3 linked regions of the Saccharomyces cerevisiae S288C genome follow. Changing the gene in region 1 together with any one later gene gives a genetic interaction. Each region holds a gene or a part of one and is shown on either strand. Other genes may lie near its edges.

What was found. Genes that interact genetically often act in the same process or in processes that back each other up.
Region 2: mutations in TOP3 (region 1) and MMS4 are lethal when combined (synthetic lethality), as found in Saccharomyces cerevisiae (5 studies listed by BioGRID, with this or other methods).
Region 3: mutations in TOP3 (region 1) and MUS81 are lethal when combined (synthetic lethality), as found in Saccharomyces cerevisiae (6 studies listed by BioGRID, with this or other methods).

What each region holds. Positions count from the first base shown.
Region 1 is NC_001144.5:605,710-614,208, forward strand, and holds TOP3 (DNA topoisomerase 3), read left to right. Parts: upstream 1-4,073; coding exon 4,074-6,044; downstream 6,045-8,499. Other genes in the region: BNA5 (kynureninase), read right to left, coding at 49-1,410; EST1 (Est1p), read right to left, coding at 1,716-3,815; YLR236C (uncharacterized protein), read right to left, coding at 6,085-6,408; thiamine transporter THI7, read left to right, coding at 6,658-8,454. UniProt on the Saccharomyces cerevisiae protein: Releases the supercoiling and torsional tension of DNA introduced during the DNA replication and transcription by transiently cleaving and rejoining one strand of the DNA duplex.
Region 2 is NC_001134.8:439,934-444,090, reverse strand, and holds MMS4 (Mms4p), read right to left. Parts: upstream 2,577-4,157; coding exon 501-2,576; downstream 1-500. Other genes in the region: Hsp70 nucleotide exchange factor FES1, read left to right, coding at 1-270; ubiquitin-binding serine/threonine protein kinase VPS15, read right to left, coding at 2,776-4,157. UniProt on the Saccharomyces cerevisiae protein: Interacts with MUS81 to form a DNA structure-specific endonuclease with substrate preference for branched DNA structures with a 5'-end at the branch nick.
Region 3 is NC_001136.10:1,244,569-1,248,482, forward strand, and holds MUS81 (Mus81p), read left to right. Parts: upstream 1-1,515; coding exon 1,516-3,414; downstream 3,415-3,914. Other genes in the region: EFT2 (elongation factor 2), read left to right, coding at 1-1,190; CIN10 (Cin10p), read right to left, coding at 3,586-3,914.

The DNA.
Region 1 (8,499 bases):
CATATATAATATCCAAAAGAAGATGAAGGCGATGCGGTCACTCTAGGACTACAACTTATCCATCGCCTCATTTAGTGCATTCACCGCAATGTATACATCTGAAAATGTATTATATAAGGGAGCAGGAGCCAATCTAATTACGTTTGGTCTTCTTGCATCGCCAATGACACCATGGTCATGCAAATATTGGAAAACTTTGGGCATAATATCCTCTTTTCCAGTGTCAGAATCGAAGTAAAGTGACAATTGGGCGCCATGTTCTTCATCTGTGCTTGTTGGAGTTAATATTGTAAAAAAACATGGTAATTTCTCGATCCTTAAAGGGTGTTTGTAATACTTGGAGGCTTCCAACAGTTCCGTCATATAGTTCGTCAGCAACAACGATCTTTTACGAACTTCATTAATACCATTAAACTTCGCAAATAATTCCAATGAACTTCTCAATGCCACTGTGTCAATAACGCTTGGATTAGATTGCCTGAATCCCAATGCTCCTGGAATCGGCTCGAATACTTCCAGCATTTGAAATCGCTTAGCAGGATCATTGCCCCACCAACCAGCTAATCTTGGCAAACTTTCCTTAGCAGGGTCTGGTTTAGTATGCTTCGAGTGGACAAATAAGCCACCAATTCCACCAGGCCCGGCATTCAAGTACTTGTAAGAACACCAACAGGCAAAGTCAACACCCCAATCATGAAGTTGCAATGGGACGTTCCCTACAGCGTGTGCTAAATCCCATCCAACCAATATGTCGGGGAATTGGTGGGCAAATGAGGTGATTCGGCCAATATCGAAATATTGCCCCGTGTAATACTGAACACCTGACAAACAGACCAGCGCCAATTCATCTTGATTTACCTCTATGGTATCCAGGATATCTTGAGTTCTGATATAAGTCTCTCCCTCGCGTGGCTCGATCTGAATAAAAACATTCTCAGGTTCCGAAATTCCATGAATTTTGCACTGGTTGTAGAAAGCATAATAGTCTGATGGAAAGGAGCCCTTTTCAAAAAGGATCTTGAATCTTTTCTCAGTAGGTTTATAAAACGTAATTAACAATGAATTCAAATTTGCAGTGAGACTATTCATTACTGCAACTTCATTTTCTTGAGCACCCACGATGGGGGCTAGTAGTGGAAGAATAGGTAAGTCAATGCTGACCCAAGGCACCTTTCCTCTGGCTTCTTCAGGATGTTTGAAATGCGATTCCACAGCACAATCGCTCCACGCATCTAGCTCAGCATTAATTGAATTCCTAGTTGACTTCGGCATCAAACCTAAAGAATTCCCGCATAAGTACGTCACAGGCTTATCGTCGGACGATAGTCCCATGGATTTAAATGTAGGGATGTTGAATTCATCCCTCAGAGATTCCGGATATTCTCCGTCTAATTCCAAAGCTTTCTCCATAATTACCAGTTTGTTTCTTTTTTCCACAGAATATTTAGGCTTAATATGTACGTATTGACAGCATATATATTTGCTGTCTTGAATTTATTATGCTAATAAATAATTATGTTTTTCAAGCGCAGTCACCTATTTCCAAAGCGATGGGTTTGTCCGTGCCGTAGACGGCATCCCGTCGTTTTAATAACCGTTATAAAAACCGCCCCCATATTTTCGTGGGTTGACGACGACAGGCGTGGACGACGTTAATTGACGTCGTCATAATATATTTCATATTATGATTTTTTCCCTCACCATTACTTGTTCTCTCAAGTAGGAGTATCTGGCACTTGGACGGTGATGTCCTCATCAGCATCAATTGCTTCGTCTGGATATGAGAGAAAATCAGAGGATAGTGGGCCAGTGATAGTTTTTCTCCCTCGTGAAGCAGCATGTTTTACCAACTCAGAAGAAACGCCATCTTTTTCTGGGAGCGGAGACAATTTTTTTGTTCTCCGGACATTTGCAAATTGTTTTTCCAGTTCTGTCACAGCTATTTTCCCGGCTCTTTTGCGCTGTTGTTCATCTCTTTTGGCCTCAACTTTTCTCGAAGAGACTACTCTTTCCTGTTGTGTTTTTACATTTATTTTGGAGGAAATTTCCGATAATGCTATTTGGCGTTTTATTTTAATATTTGGGCTTATTAAATCAAACTTATATTTGCTGGCATTCCATATGACGCCGGTGTCATTTTTCTCTAAAAATTTCATGCCAGAAAATATTATTGATCTAATTCGCAGAACACATTCTTCTTTTGGAGAAAGCACTTTAGTCAATGTAGGGCATCCAATTATATTATTAATCATGTCGGGAGAATCATACACATAATCGTCATTAAAATCTGTTAGTGCAAAGTTAATGCAAGAAAATTCCCTGAAAATAATATCTTCTCTAAAAAGATAGCTTCTTTTCGGCCTGTGGCTATATATATTTCCTGAACAATTCAGTGGACTATTTATCAAGTCGTTCAGCAACAAGGCGAATGAAGTGCAAAACTTCCTGTGTCTGTGAGTGTACTGCAAAATAGATCTATATGACTTAATCCAGCACATAAGCAAACGAATAATGGCTAGATATCGAAAGTCTTCCATGTTTTTTTGCCAGGAGGGTTTGATGACGACGTCTATGATATTAGCAATAAAATCAAAGCTCAAGTCTAAAAAAAAAACCTGGCGCTCACTCAAATCTGCATATTTGAGTTTGTTCTTTTGTTCCTTACTTTTTCGAGTTGTAAACATAAGATCGAAACTTCCCATTGTGGCAGCCAAGTTTTCAAGTATAACATTAATATTACCTGAATGATACTTTAATGCAGCCATTTGTAAATGCTCTTTCAATAACCAACAATTAGAAGCACGTGATGCGTTCCATGACTGTGGAACCAAAGTGTGTTCTACTATCGATAGAAATTGCAAAACAATTTGACCTTCAAAGAATGATTTCTCACCTTTGAGATCTTTTGACACAAGAATTGCCAATTTTTTCATCAGACGTCTTCTTTCCGGAAAATCAGGAGTCAAAATGAAATCTTTCAAATTGTTTAACGCACATTTAGACGGAATCCTTACCAATGCTCCTCTTACTAATTCAAAGAAATACAGTGAGAATTTCCCAGTGATCAAGTAAATTTTCGCTCGTTGAAAATAAGTATCTCCAACGGCTGGGAGATAGAGTGAGGCAATATTCAAGTACCTAATAGACTTCTCAAAACCTTCCACACTCTTGGGTTTGTTAGACGGCTTGTTTAGTAGTGTTTTATAAAAATGTGTGGAACCTAGATTAATCACGCATCTTTGTAGTGAGATTACAATGGAAAACGTCAGTGGATTACTCGTGTTTAAGATAATTTTCTCATGAGTTGAAAGTCCATCTGTGTATTGCATTAAATTCAACTTCGCGAAGAGAGCATTTGAAATAACGGAATTCATATCGTACTTTGCGCATAGGTGTTCGATGATGTCATAGTAATACCTGTGTGTAATTTTGAAAAATTGAATCATTTTTTTTTGAAAAATTCTAAAAACTCTGAACTTTCTTCTGTTACTTAGTCGCATGATATCATGGAACCAGTGCTCAAACCATTGGAGTGTAGGTTCGTGAATTTGAAGCCATAAAAGTTTCAGAACCAATGGTATCACGGAATCATTTATGCGTTCGTAATTGTTATTATGGTACATATTTTCTTGTTTCAAAAGTAGCTCTTCGAGAAACCTAGTAGATTTGCGATGTATTCCATCCAGGAAGCATCTGAACGTGATATATGCATTTTCATCGCATGTCAACCTTGATGTTAGATGTTTATCCAGATGCGCACGAGCGTTCTTGAAAAATAATCTCATACATTCTTCGTTAACTTCTTCATTATCCATTATCTATGGTGGCATGTGTCATTTAATGGAATATACTTTTTCCCCTGATAAGTTTGCTAAAAACGGTCGGATCATACAGGCATGTTAACATTTCCATTATCCTTTTTGACATTGGATAATGGCGTGAACGCGAAAATCACATTGATAAAAAAAAGCAGTTTGGCGAATTAGTAACTGTCAATAAAGAGGGCATCGCTTTTGAAAGCACCTTCGTCTGTGCGCTCGCTTCAGCTACGTAAAGGTGTATTATAGACAATAATGAAAGTGCTATGTGTCGCAGAGAAAAATTCTATAGCGAAGGCAGTTTCACAGATCCTAGGAGGAGGCAGATCAACTTCAAGGGATTCCGGCTACATGTATGTAAAGAACTATGATTTCATGTTTAGTGGGTTCCCGTTTGCCAGAAATGGGGCTAACTGCGAAGTTACCATGACTAGTGTTGCAGGGCACCTAACAGGCATTGATTTCAGCCATGATTCGCATGGGTGGGGAAAATGCGCCATCCAAGAGTTATTTGATGCGCCACTGAACGAGATTATGAATAACAACCAAAAAAAGATAGCAAGCAACATCAAGCGAGAAGCGAGGAATGCAGACTATCTGATGATATGGACAGATTGCGACCGGGAAGGAGAGTACATCGGTTGGGAGATATGGCAGGAGGCCAAGAGAGGCAACAGGCTCATACAAAATGATCAAGTATACCGGGCAGTCTTTTCGCATCTCGAAAGACAACACATATTAAATGCAGCACGAAACCCAAGTCGATTGGATATGAAGAGTGTGCACGCTGTAGGCACGCGGATTGAAATCGATCTTCGAGCAGGTGTTACATTCACCAGACTCTTAACAGAAACGCTACGAAATAAACTGAGAAACCAAGCCACCATGACCAAGGATGGTGCAAAACACCGCGGTGGTAACAAGAACGACTCACAAGTCGTATCGTATGGTACATGCCAGTTTCCAACGCTCGGCTTTGTAGTAGACAGGTTTGAAAGAATACGAAATTTTGTTCCCGAAGAGTTCTGGTATATCCAATTGGTAGTCGAAAACAAAGACAACGGCGGAACAACAACGTTCCAGTGGGACAGGGGCCACTTGTTCGACCGGCTGAGCGTGTTAACGTTTTACGAGACATGCATCGAAACCGCCGGCAATGTTGCTCAAGTAGTAGACTTGAAATCAAAGCCAACAACGAAATACAGACCTTTACCTCTGACCACAGTGGAGCTACAAAAAAACTGCGCCCGGTACCTGCGTCTGAACGCCAAACAATCACTAGACGCAGCAGAAAAGCTATACCAAAAGGGGTTCATATCGTATCCAAGAACAGAGACTGATACTTTCCCACACGCAATGGACCTAAAATCCTTGGTCGAAAAGCAAGCTCAATTGGACCAACTCGCTGCAGGCGGCAGAACCGCCTGGGCATCGTACGCGGCATCGCTGCTCCAACCCGAAAACACAAGTAACAATAACAAGTTCAAGTTTCCACGAAGCGGCTCCCATGACGACAAAGCGCATCCACCAATCCACCCCATCGTAAGTCTGGGGCCTGAAGCAAATGTTTCGCCAGTGGAAAGAAGAGTATACGAGTACGTGGCCAGGCACTTTTTGGCATGCTGCTCAGAGGACGCCAAGGGCCAATCGATGACCCTTGTGTTGGACTGGGCCGTTGAACGTTTCTCAGCTTCAGGTCTCGTAGTCCTAGAGAGAAATTTCCTCGATGTTTACCCTTGGGCCCGATGGGAAACCACCAAGCAGTTACCGCGGCTTGAAATGAATGCCCTCGTAGACATCGCGAAGGCCGAAATGAAGGCGGGCACTACGGCGCCGCCCAAGCCGATGACTGAGAGTGAACTCATTCTCCTCATGGATACAAACGGCATTGGCACAGACGCCACCATTGCGGAGCACATAGACAAGATCCAAGTACGTAATTACGTTAGGAGCGAGAAAGTAGGCAAGGAAACCTACTTACAACCCACGACCCTGGGTGTCTCACTAGTGCACGGCTTCGAGGCCATCGGCCTCGAAGACTCCTTTGCAAAGCCCTTCCAGCGCAGAGAAATGGAGCAAGACCTCAAGAAAATCTGCGAAGGTCATGCCTCCAAGACTGATGTTGTAAAGGACATAGTCGAGAAGTATAGGAAGTACTGGCACAAGACGAATGCCTGCAAGAATACTCTCTTGCAAGTTTATGACCGTGTCAAGGCATCCATGTAAGGCGTTTTTGCCGCCCTTTGTCTTCAAAAAAGCTCTCCGCTTAATTGCATGATTCAGCTGACTGCATATGTGCATTTTCAGTACCAGCCGCAACTGCATCAAACCATGCAGAAGTCGCCGCCACAGAAGCTCCAGCGCGCCGCGTAAACGCATGTTGGAAGGCGCCCCAATTAGCATATTCACGCGCGACTACCAAACGCATAGGGAAGGTTTCAGAGAGCCGATGAGCAGCGGATGCACAGAGTACGGCCATAAGGCTGCAAAGCGCTTGGCAGGAATGGGCGTTTTCTAGAGGTTGCCTTATTGATTTATATGGAAGAGGAGAGGATTCATCGATCGGGCTTCTAAGGCAAATAGTATGCATACCTTTTTCGGGTAGTTGAAGAGAAAAGAGGAAGAGAATAGAAAAAAAAAAAAAGCGAAATTTTTACATCCTCTATTGTAATGTAATTTCTTTTTTTTTATTAGGTATATATGTGAGATACAATTCTCGAAGTCATCGGGAAGCTTTACCATTTCATTTCCTATTCCAGAACTCATATTAGCATCTATTGTTCTGAGATTCATCGCAACATCATTTAAAGGACTGTAGAGCCAATTGCATTATATCAATATGAGTTTCGGTAGTAAAGTCTCCAGGGCTTTGAGATTTTTGGAAATTCCTGTCAAAGACAGGGCATCTGTGAGTTTCTTGAAGAACCCGGATTTGCAACCTATTAAGTCGGCTAACCAAACATGGGGGTTCTGGTCTAATTTTGCATATTGGGGTGTTATGTCCTTTTCAGTGGGTACATGGATGAGTGCCTCTTCTGCACTAGGTGTTGGATTAAGTTACCCAGAAACCATTGGTACATTTATCGTCGGTGATGTGTTGACCATTATTTTCACATTGGCAAACTCGTGTCCTGGTTACGACTGGAAGGTCGGTTTCACTTTGGCCCAAAGATTCGTCTTTGGTATTTACGGTTCTGCCTTCGGTATCATCATCAGAATTTTGATGAGTATTGTCAACTACGGGTCCAACGCTTGGGTGGGAGGTCTTTGTATCAATATGATCTTGGATTCATGGTCTCACCATTATTTGCACCTGCCAAACACCTTATCTTCGAAAGTTGCCATGACCACTAAAGAATTAATTGGTTTTATCATCTTCCACGTCCTTACTGCATTCTGTTACTTAATGAAACCCTACCACATGAACTACATTTTAATTTGGTCGTGTGTTGCTACATTTTTCTCTATGTTGGGTATGGTGATCTATTTAGCTAAACAGGCTCACGGTGTTGGAGAATTGTTTACCTCCACTAAATCCACTGCCACTGGCTCCACCAAAGCTTGGGCTTGGGTTTATATGATCTCGTACTGGTTCGGTTCCGTTTCTCCAGGTTCCACCAACCAAAGTGATTACTCGAGATTTGGTTCCTCCAATTGGGCTATCTGGGCCGGTACCATCTGTGCATTGTTAATTCCAACCACTTTAATCCCAGTTTTTGGTGTTATTGGTGCCTCCACCTGTGACAAACTATACGGTGAACAATATTGGATGCCTATGGATATCTTCAACCATTGGTTGACAACTAACTATTCTGCAGGTGCTCGTGCCGGTGCGTTCTTCTGTGGTCTTTCATTTGTCCTATCTCAAATGTCCTACACCATCTCCAACTGTGGGTTTGCCAGTGGTATGGATTTGGCCGGTTTATTACCCAAGTATGTCGACATCAAGAGGGGTGCCCTTTTTGCCGCATGTGTCTCCTGGGCTTGTTTGCCATGGAACTTCTACAACTCTTCTTCTACTTTCTTGACTGTCATGAGTTCTTTCGGTGTTGTCATGACTCCTATCATTTCTGTCATGATTTGCGATAACTTCTTGATCAGAAAAAGACAATACTCCATCACTAATGCCTTTATTCTCAAGGGTGAATACTATTTCACTAAGGGTGTTAACTGGAGAGCTATTGTTGCCTGGGTTTGTGGTATGACCCCCGGTCTACCTGGTATTGCTTGGGAAGTCAATAATGACTATTTCCACAACACTGGTATTGTCAATTTCTTTTACGGTGACTCCTTCTTCTCGTTTTTGATCTCCTTTTTCGTCTATTGGGGACTATGCCTCCTCTTCCCATTCAAAATTACTGTCAAACATGATGACAAAGATTATTATGGTGCCTTTACTGACGAAGAAGCAAGAAAGAAGGGCATGGTTCCATACAGTGAAATTTCTGAAGAAGAAATCCGCGCTTACACATTAGGCGAAGGTTACACTACCGGCCACGAGTACAGACCTGAAGGCTCCGACGATGAAATACCTGAGTTGGTCAAAACTAGCTCTGAAAACACCAATGAGTTTGAAATAGTTCATCATAAGAATAATGAAAAGCAATCCTCCACCGCCAGTGAAAAAGCTGCTTAGTGGGAAATAAAATTGCAAAAAATAATTAAGAATAAAATTTCCCTT
Region 2 (4,157 bases), on another chromosome or scaffold:
GCATATTTGTCATCTGTTAAGATTGATGAAAATATAATCAGTGTGCTGAGAAAGGATGGAGTAATTGAAAGTACGATTGAGTGCTTGTCTGACGAGAGTAACTTGAACATCATAGATAGAGTTCTGTCTTTTCTCTCTCACCTGATATCTTCCGGAATAAAATTTAATGAACAGGAATTGCACAAATTGAACGAAGGTTACAAACATATCGAGCCTCTAAAGGACAGACTTAATGAAGACGATTATTTAGCCGTAAAGTATGTATTATGATTACGTCCGTAGAAATAAAATGATATTACATTCACCATTTCATATTATCTTTAACCGGAATCTCGAACATTTATTATTAACACTGTTTTATTTTATTACGAATATTTATCAATAGTACTTTCTGTAAAATGGAATTCATTAAAAAGGTAAGGAGGGGGAAATAGAGCTGCAGTGATTTTCAAAACGACTGCCTTAAGGTATGTTCTTATATACAAAGTTTCGTTCGATCATCATTCAATAGTATCATTTGGATCAGTACAAGTAAACAGTTTGTACAATCTTTTTTCTACTGCCTCAGTCATCAAGTATTTACCTTCGTTGTCTGATTGCAGTCTTCCCTTTTCAATATCTTCAAGTAATGATTGAAAACTGGGGTATAGGCTCACGACATTATTCGCCTTCATTTCAGGCATTCTCCCTATCTGATGAAAGGTTTTCTTTAGCGTTTCTGTACTATCCTGAGCGGATTTTACATTCAAATGAGCATATTTCATATACCGAATTGCGGGATCCATGCGCTGTTTTCCAATTAATGACACTAGGTTCGGCAGAGAATTAATAAACTCCATATGTGAATTTACAGTATGTATTTTGACATGCCATTCTCTATCAATGAAGCGCAATCGTTGCTCTAAATCAAATTTTTTTATCCCTAATTTTCCAACTTGGCTTGATTTTTTACTTCTCGGTCTTAAAGCTTCTTCTGTTCCTGACAATCGTTGTTCTACCCTAGCTTTGTACTTTTCATTTTCTAATTGGAAAATAGCTCTTTTGAGTTTATTTATATCGCTTAGTATAAGAATCACATGTTTTCCATTCTTTGAGAAAAATCGTATCTTCCTATATAATTCTTTCTTTTGTGAAGTGTATTGTTCAAAAAATTCTTGCGCATCATAATATAGAATCAAAACGTTTTCTTCAACTATTTTGGGATCACAGGGGTAATAGAAATCGTTACTAAAGTCGTAAATACTGTCACATTTTCGAAGAAATCTTAAAAGCGGCATAGAATCGTTATAGCTTGATTGCACAACTGCTGGTGCCAATTGTTGTTGCAGATCACTGTCTCCTTTTTTAAATAACTGGAGAAGGCTAGGCGAAAACTCTATAATCATTTGAGAGCGTGCTTTTATATTATCTCGATATATCTGGTTAACTCGCTTAAAAGCATTTTTGTTTTCTTTTAACAAGTGTCGTATTTTGTTTTTTGAGTCTTCTCTAGTATAGTATTGCCCATAGGCAATATAATTCTCTAGTTGTGATACCTCTCTGGCAGTATTTTTAGTACATTTGGGATCCTCAGCCGTTAATGTTTTCGAGCGTTTTGCTTCCTGAAAACAATTAGCGTTGCTAAAGATTGGTTGACTACCTGTCCTTACTATGTTAGACCCCTTTGCAGGGGTTGAAAGTACATCAGTAGTAATACTATCTGAGGAATCGAGAAATTTAGAAAGATTTAGTTCTACTGTATCAGGTAGTTTGGTGCTGTTGATTAGTGTTCTTGATAACGCTATGGTTCTCTTCTTTCCTTTCGGAAGGTGTTCTTGCTCGTCTTCACCTTTATTGTATACCCTTTTTGCCATGGATGTCCCATCTTCACCATGATTTTGTTTTCCTGCTGGTTTCAGGCTATTATCTGGTGAAGAATTTTCATTAGCAATCGAATTGTGCTTTTCTTCAGTTGGGTTCTCATGTTTTACTGGAGACAGTGGAAAATCGAACAGTATATCAGCTGCTCCTATCTGTGATTTCGGACTATCACTAATGTCACTATTGGTTTTTCCGATTCCTTGTGTCTTATATTCGCAGTCAACAGCAATAGGCTCTGGATTTTTTAAAGACTGTACTCCCCATTTCTCTGCGATGTCCCTCAAATTGTATTGTGATTTGTTGTGCTTCTTTCCACTCGACTCAAGATCAGCTGACCATTCATCACTTATTAGATCATCCAAAAGTTTTTTCGCGTTTCCTTTTGCATTATTCTCATTTCTGAGAGACGAATCTATGATGGAATTTACTGTTGTAGAAAAGTCATCTAGCTTGCTTATACTGATATCTTGGAAGAACGGCGCAGAAAGTTCGATAGATTTGTTTAGGTCAACATTCTCAACATCATTCGAAACAGATTTTCTTTGCGGTGATGATGGAATCATCTCTGCAGAGCTTACATGTGCCCTTTTGCACTCATCTTGATCCATTGATTCCGAGAGAGCGATAATTTCAACATTTGAGGGTCCATCGATGATCTGAATACTGGCATCGTTTCTTGAATCTTTGTCCTCAACAAAATCAACGATCTGGCTCATTTAACTAGCTGCAATATGTGACTACTATTATTCTATACCATAATCCATACATTGTTCTTTATTTACGTATACAACCATTTTTTTCGTGAAAAGGGTACTTCAACGCGTTGCAAGCCCTTTCCTAAATGATCGAAAATGTTTAAGGTGAATACAAATTTATACGCATTTAGAATAAAGAAGCTGAATAAAATAAAAAAAATTATTGGAAGATTCCAATAAGCCCTGAGTTATCACAAGCAACCAGCAAAGGTGTCTCATCAACTTCACATGTAGATATAGAATTTATAATATCATGATGATATAGAGAATCATCTACTGAATGAGTGCTAGTACGTTTCATTTTTCTCAATAACATTGTGAGATTTGCCGTAACTTGTGTAGGAATAAAAACGTCACTGAATCTTGAAGGACTTATTACTGCTTTAGAAGAAGAAAGCTCATTTAGGCTAAACATAACAATGGAACTTGTTGCTTCATCGGTAAGAAGAATTTTATCATTAGATACTGAGATAGTGCTTAGTGCGTTTAAAGACCTGATTCCACAAAAATTTAATTCTTCTAAGCCTTTCTCAATTGGTAAAAAGTGCTCCATAGATGGCTGTTCATCAGAATTTATGAAAGCATACTGACAATGCCCCTTAACAAAATTCCATATTGTTAGAAATGTTTTTGAACTACCTCCTACAACAATTACAGAATTCTTTCCATAAAACTGACAAACCTCCACATGCGTGATTGGTGCGTGGTCCCCAAAGGACCAACTCCTTATCAGCACGTTGAAACGGATATCCCATATATCAATAATACCTCTAGTCGTCCCCAAAATTAGGACACAACACTCTTCATCGATACAGATGCTTGAAACGGCACCATGCCTTGGAGAATTCTCTATAATTTGTAACCTCTCCAGGGTTCTAATATCAAATATAATAACCCTTGACAAATTCGTCAATGCTACTAGTAGAGATTTTTCCTCATTCACAAATGCTCTCATTCTCACTGCGTATTCATTTTTACCAAAATTCTTCAAGTTAATTTTCCTGATGCATTCGCAATTCAAAAATTTGACTTCACTTTCTTGTTGGTAATGATTAACCTTTAATACAATTATTTGTCCATCTTTACTGGAAACGGCAAACGCGTCAAAGTTAGGAATCATGGTTATCTGAGTTACGGTAGAGGAGCAGTCATAAGTTAAAGAAGAAGAGTAAACCTCGCCCACGATAATCTCTTTCAGGTTCCAAATCTTGATTACACCTTGATCTGAACCTGTTATTAAATAGGGTGTTTCTCCTGGAGAAACAGCAGAAGACGTAATAGAATTGGGTTCGTTTTCCATCAAAGTAGCTATCAACTTGCCCCTCAAATTACCCATGTTTGGACTCCGTACAATCTCTTGAATAGGCCCAAACTCCTTATAATCTCTCAGAGGAGGTAAAATTTTGAAAGTCGATAGGAATTTTTCTATGCTTTCAACGTCGCCTTCATAGCTGTTGCTGACGACTACCTTCCTTTCTGGTTTAACATTTGCATTATCTTTCAAGCCATGATTTGGAGAATGCATGTGATAGGACGTTGGTT
Region 3 (3,914 bases), on another chromosome or scaffold:
ACTGTCCAGCCGGTAACATTATCGGTTTAGTCGGTATCGATCAATTCTTGTTGAAGACTGGTACTTTGACCACCAGTGAAACTGCTCACAACATGAAGGTCATGAAATTCTCTGTCTCTCCAGTTGTGCAAGTCGCTGTCGAAGTCAAGAACGCTAACGACTTACCAAAATTGGTCGAAGGTTTGAAGAGATTGTCCAAGTCTGATCCATGTGTCTTGACCTATATGTCTGAATCCGGTGAACATATCGTTGCTGGTACCGGTGAATTGCATTTGGAAATTTGTTTGCAAGATTTGGAACACGACCACGCTGGTGTTCCATTGAAGATCTCCCCACCAGTTGTCGCTTACAGAGAAACTGTTGAAAGTGAATCTTCTCAAACTGCTTTGTCCAAGTCTCCAAACAAGCATAACAGAATCTACTTGAAGGCTGAACCAATTGACGAAGAAGTCTCTTTGGCTATTGAAAACGGTATCATCAACCCAAGAGATGATTTCAAGGCCAGAGCTAGAATCATGGCTGACGACTACGGTTGGGATGTCACCGATGCCAGAAAGATCTGGTGTTTCGGTCCAGACGGTAACGGTCCAAACTTGGTTATTGACCAAACTAAGGCTGTCCAATACTTGCACGAAATCAAGGATTCCGTTGTTGCTGCTTTCCAATGGGCTACCAAGGAAGGTCCAATTTTCGGTGAAGAAATGAGATCTGTCAGAGTTAACATTTTGGATGTTACTTTACATGCCGATGCTATCCACAGAGGTGGTGGTCAAATCATCCCAACCATGAGAAGAGCTACTTACGCTGGTTTCTTGTTGGCTGATCCAAAGATCCAAGAACCAGTTTTCTTGGTCGAAATTCAATGTCCAGAACAAGCCGTCGGTGGTATCTACTCCGTCTTAAACAAGAAGAGAGGTCAAGTCGTTTCTGAAGAACAAAGACCAGGTACTCCATTGTTTACCGTCAAGGCCTACTTGCCAGTTAACGAATCTTTCGGTTTCACTGGTGAATTGAGACAAGCTACTGGTGGTCAAGCTTTCCCACAAATGGTTTTCGACCATTGGTCCACTTTAGGTTCTGACCCATTGGACCCAACCTCTAAGGCTGGTGAAATTGTTCTTGCTGCTCGTAAGAGACACGGTATGAAGGAAGAAGTTCCAGGCTGGCAAGAATATTACGACAAATTGTAAGAATGGTTAAACAATTTTTAATTATTTAACTTTTTCAGTTTTTGTCGTAATGTATTGGGCACCTTTTATGTCCTTTTGACTTTTTTGTAGTTTATTCTCACGTATACTTACCATCTATAGTGTTATTTCATATTTAATCATATTTCCATATTAGATATCTGCCTTCCCCTGTATAATAGTTACTATGATTTATCTTGCTTTGCCTATTCGCGTCATCAACTTCTTTTCTTACCGATCGCGGTAATGCCCTTTAAGAGTGGCATCAACATTGGCGTAAACAAAGTTTCAAAGGATTGATACGAACACACATTCCTAGCATGAAAGCATGGAACTCTCATCAAACTTAAAAGACCTATATATTGAATGGTTACAAGAATTAGTTGACGGATTAACCCCTAAACAAGAACAACTCAAAATAGCCTATGAAAAAGCAAAAAGGAATTTACAAAATGCTGAAGGTTCATTTTATTATCCTACAGATCTAAAGAAAGTTAAGGGAATTGGCAATACAATAATAAAGAGATTAGATACGAAATTACGGAACTATTGCAAAATTCACCACATATCTCCCGTTGAGGCTCCTTCCTTAACTCAGACAAGTAGCACCAGACCACCAAAGAGGACTACTACAGCTTTGCGTAGCATAGTAAACTCATGCGAAAATGATAAGAATGAAGCTCCCGAAGAGAAGGGAACTAAAAAGAGAAAAACTAGGAAGTATATACCCAAAAAAAGATCTGGAGGCTACGCTATCCTTCTTTCCTTACTCGAGCTTAATGCCATTCCTCGAGGCGTTAGTAAAGAGCAAATCATCGAGGTTGCAGGAAAATACAGTGACCATTGTATGACTCCAAATTTCTCCACAAAAGAATTCTACGGTGCTTGGTCGTCTATTGCTGCACTTAAAAAACATTCGTTGGTTCTTGAGGAAGGTAGACCAAAACGGTATTCGCTAACAGAGGAAGGTGTAGAACTAACAAAGAGCTTAAAGACGGCAGACGGAATCTCTTTTCCAAAAGAAAATGAAGAACCTAACGAGTATTCCGTAACCAGGAATGAAAGTAGTGAATTCACAGCAAATCTGACTGACCTCCGTGGTGAATATGGTAAGGAAGAAGAGCCCTGCGATATAAATAACACTTCATTCATGCTGGATATAACTTTTCAAGATTTGAGCACGCCGCAAAGGCTGCAGAACAATGTATTTAAAAATGATAGACTGAATAGCCAAACTAATATATCTTCTCATAAATTGGAAGAGGTCTCTGATGATCAAACAGTACCTGATTCCGCATTAAAGGCTAAAAGCACAATAAAGAGGAGAAGGTACAACGGAGTAAGTTACGAATTGTGGTGTAGTGGTGATTTCGAAGTTTTCCCAATTATTGATCACAGAGAAATAAAGTCACAATCTGATCGTGAGTTTTTTTCAAGGGCATTTGAAAGAAAAGGTATGAAGTCAGAGATAAGGCAACTCGCTTTGGGTGATATTATATGGGTTGCCAAGAATAAAAATACCGGGTTGCAGTGTGTGCTCAACACCATAGTTGAAAGAAAAAGGCTAGACGATTTAGCTTTAAGTATAAGGGATAACAGGTTTATGGAGCAAAAAAATAGGTTAGAGAAATCTGGCTGTGAACACAAATACTATCTCATTGAGGAGACTATGAGTGGCAACATTGGAAATATGAATGAGGCCCTAAAGACCGCGCTTTGGGTCATTTTAGTGTATTACAAATTCTCCATGATAAGAACTTGCAATTCGGATGAAACTGTGGAAAAGATACATGCGTTGCATACTGTAATTTCTCATCACTATTCTCAAAAAGATCTCATAGTTATATTTCCAAGTGACCTTAAAAGCAAGGACGATTATAAAAAGGTGCTTCTACAGTTTCGTCGAGAATTCGAACGAAAAGGCGGTATTGAATGCTGTCATAATCTTGAATGCTTTCAAGAACTAATGGGAAAAGGCGATCTAAAGACGGTTGGTGAGCTAACTATACATGTTTTAATGCTTGTTAAAGGTATATCTTTAGAAAAAGCAGTAGCCATCCAAGAAATATTTCCTACCCTGAATAAAATACTAATGGCATATAAAACGTGCTCCTCGGAAGAAGAGGCTAAATTGTTGATGTTTAATGTACTGGGAGATGCACCTGGTGCGAAGAAAATTACTAAATCTCTTTCAGAAAAGATATATGATGCTTTTGGTAAACTTTAGCAATTTGAAATATAGTCATCCCTGCAAGGTTTTATAAAGAAAAAAGTGATGATATTCTTTTAACTAATATATACATATATAAGAAAAGAAGCCTTAATTTCTCACGGACAAATATACCAGAAGCATATCTGAAAGCCGCCCCAATGCATTATGATGCCACTTGACAACTCATCAATGGTAGGTACGAAAGACATAATGAACATCAATTCCATTATCAAAAACCCTTCCAACCTCTTCCAGTGACAAACCTTTGACTTCTGGATACCAAAAATATACGAAAAACCAGGCACAAACTGTGAAAAAAGCAAAAATGAGCATTGTATTTTCATCACCAATGGTGTTAATAGTGCTCAGATATGTCATTGAAACAAATGCATTGGTCAACCAATTTGTGCAGGCTATACATGATGCCCCAAATGATCTCCTGTTCAAGGGGAGAAATTCCACACAGGTCCATGGAACGCTGCCCATCGCAGAAGCATATGCTGCAACATAAATTA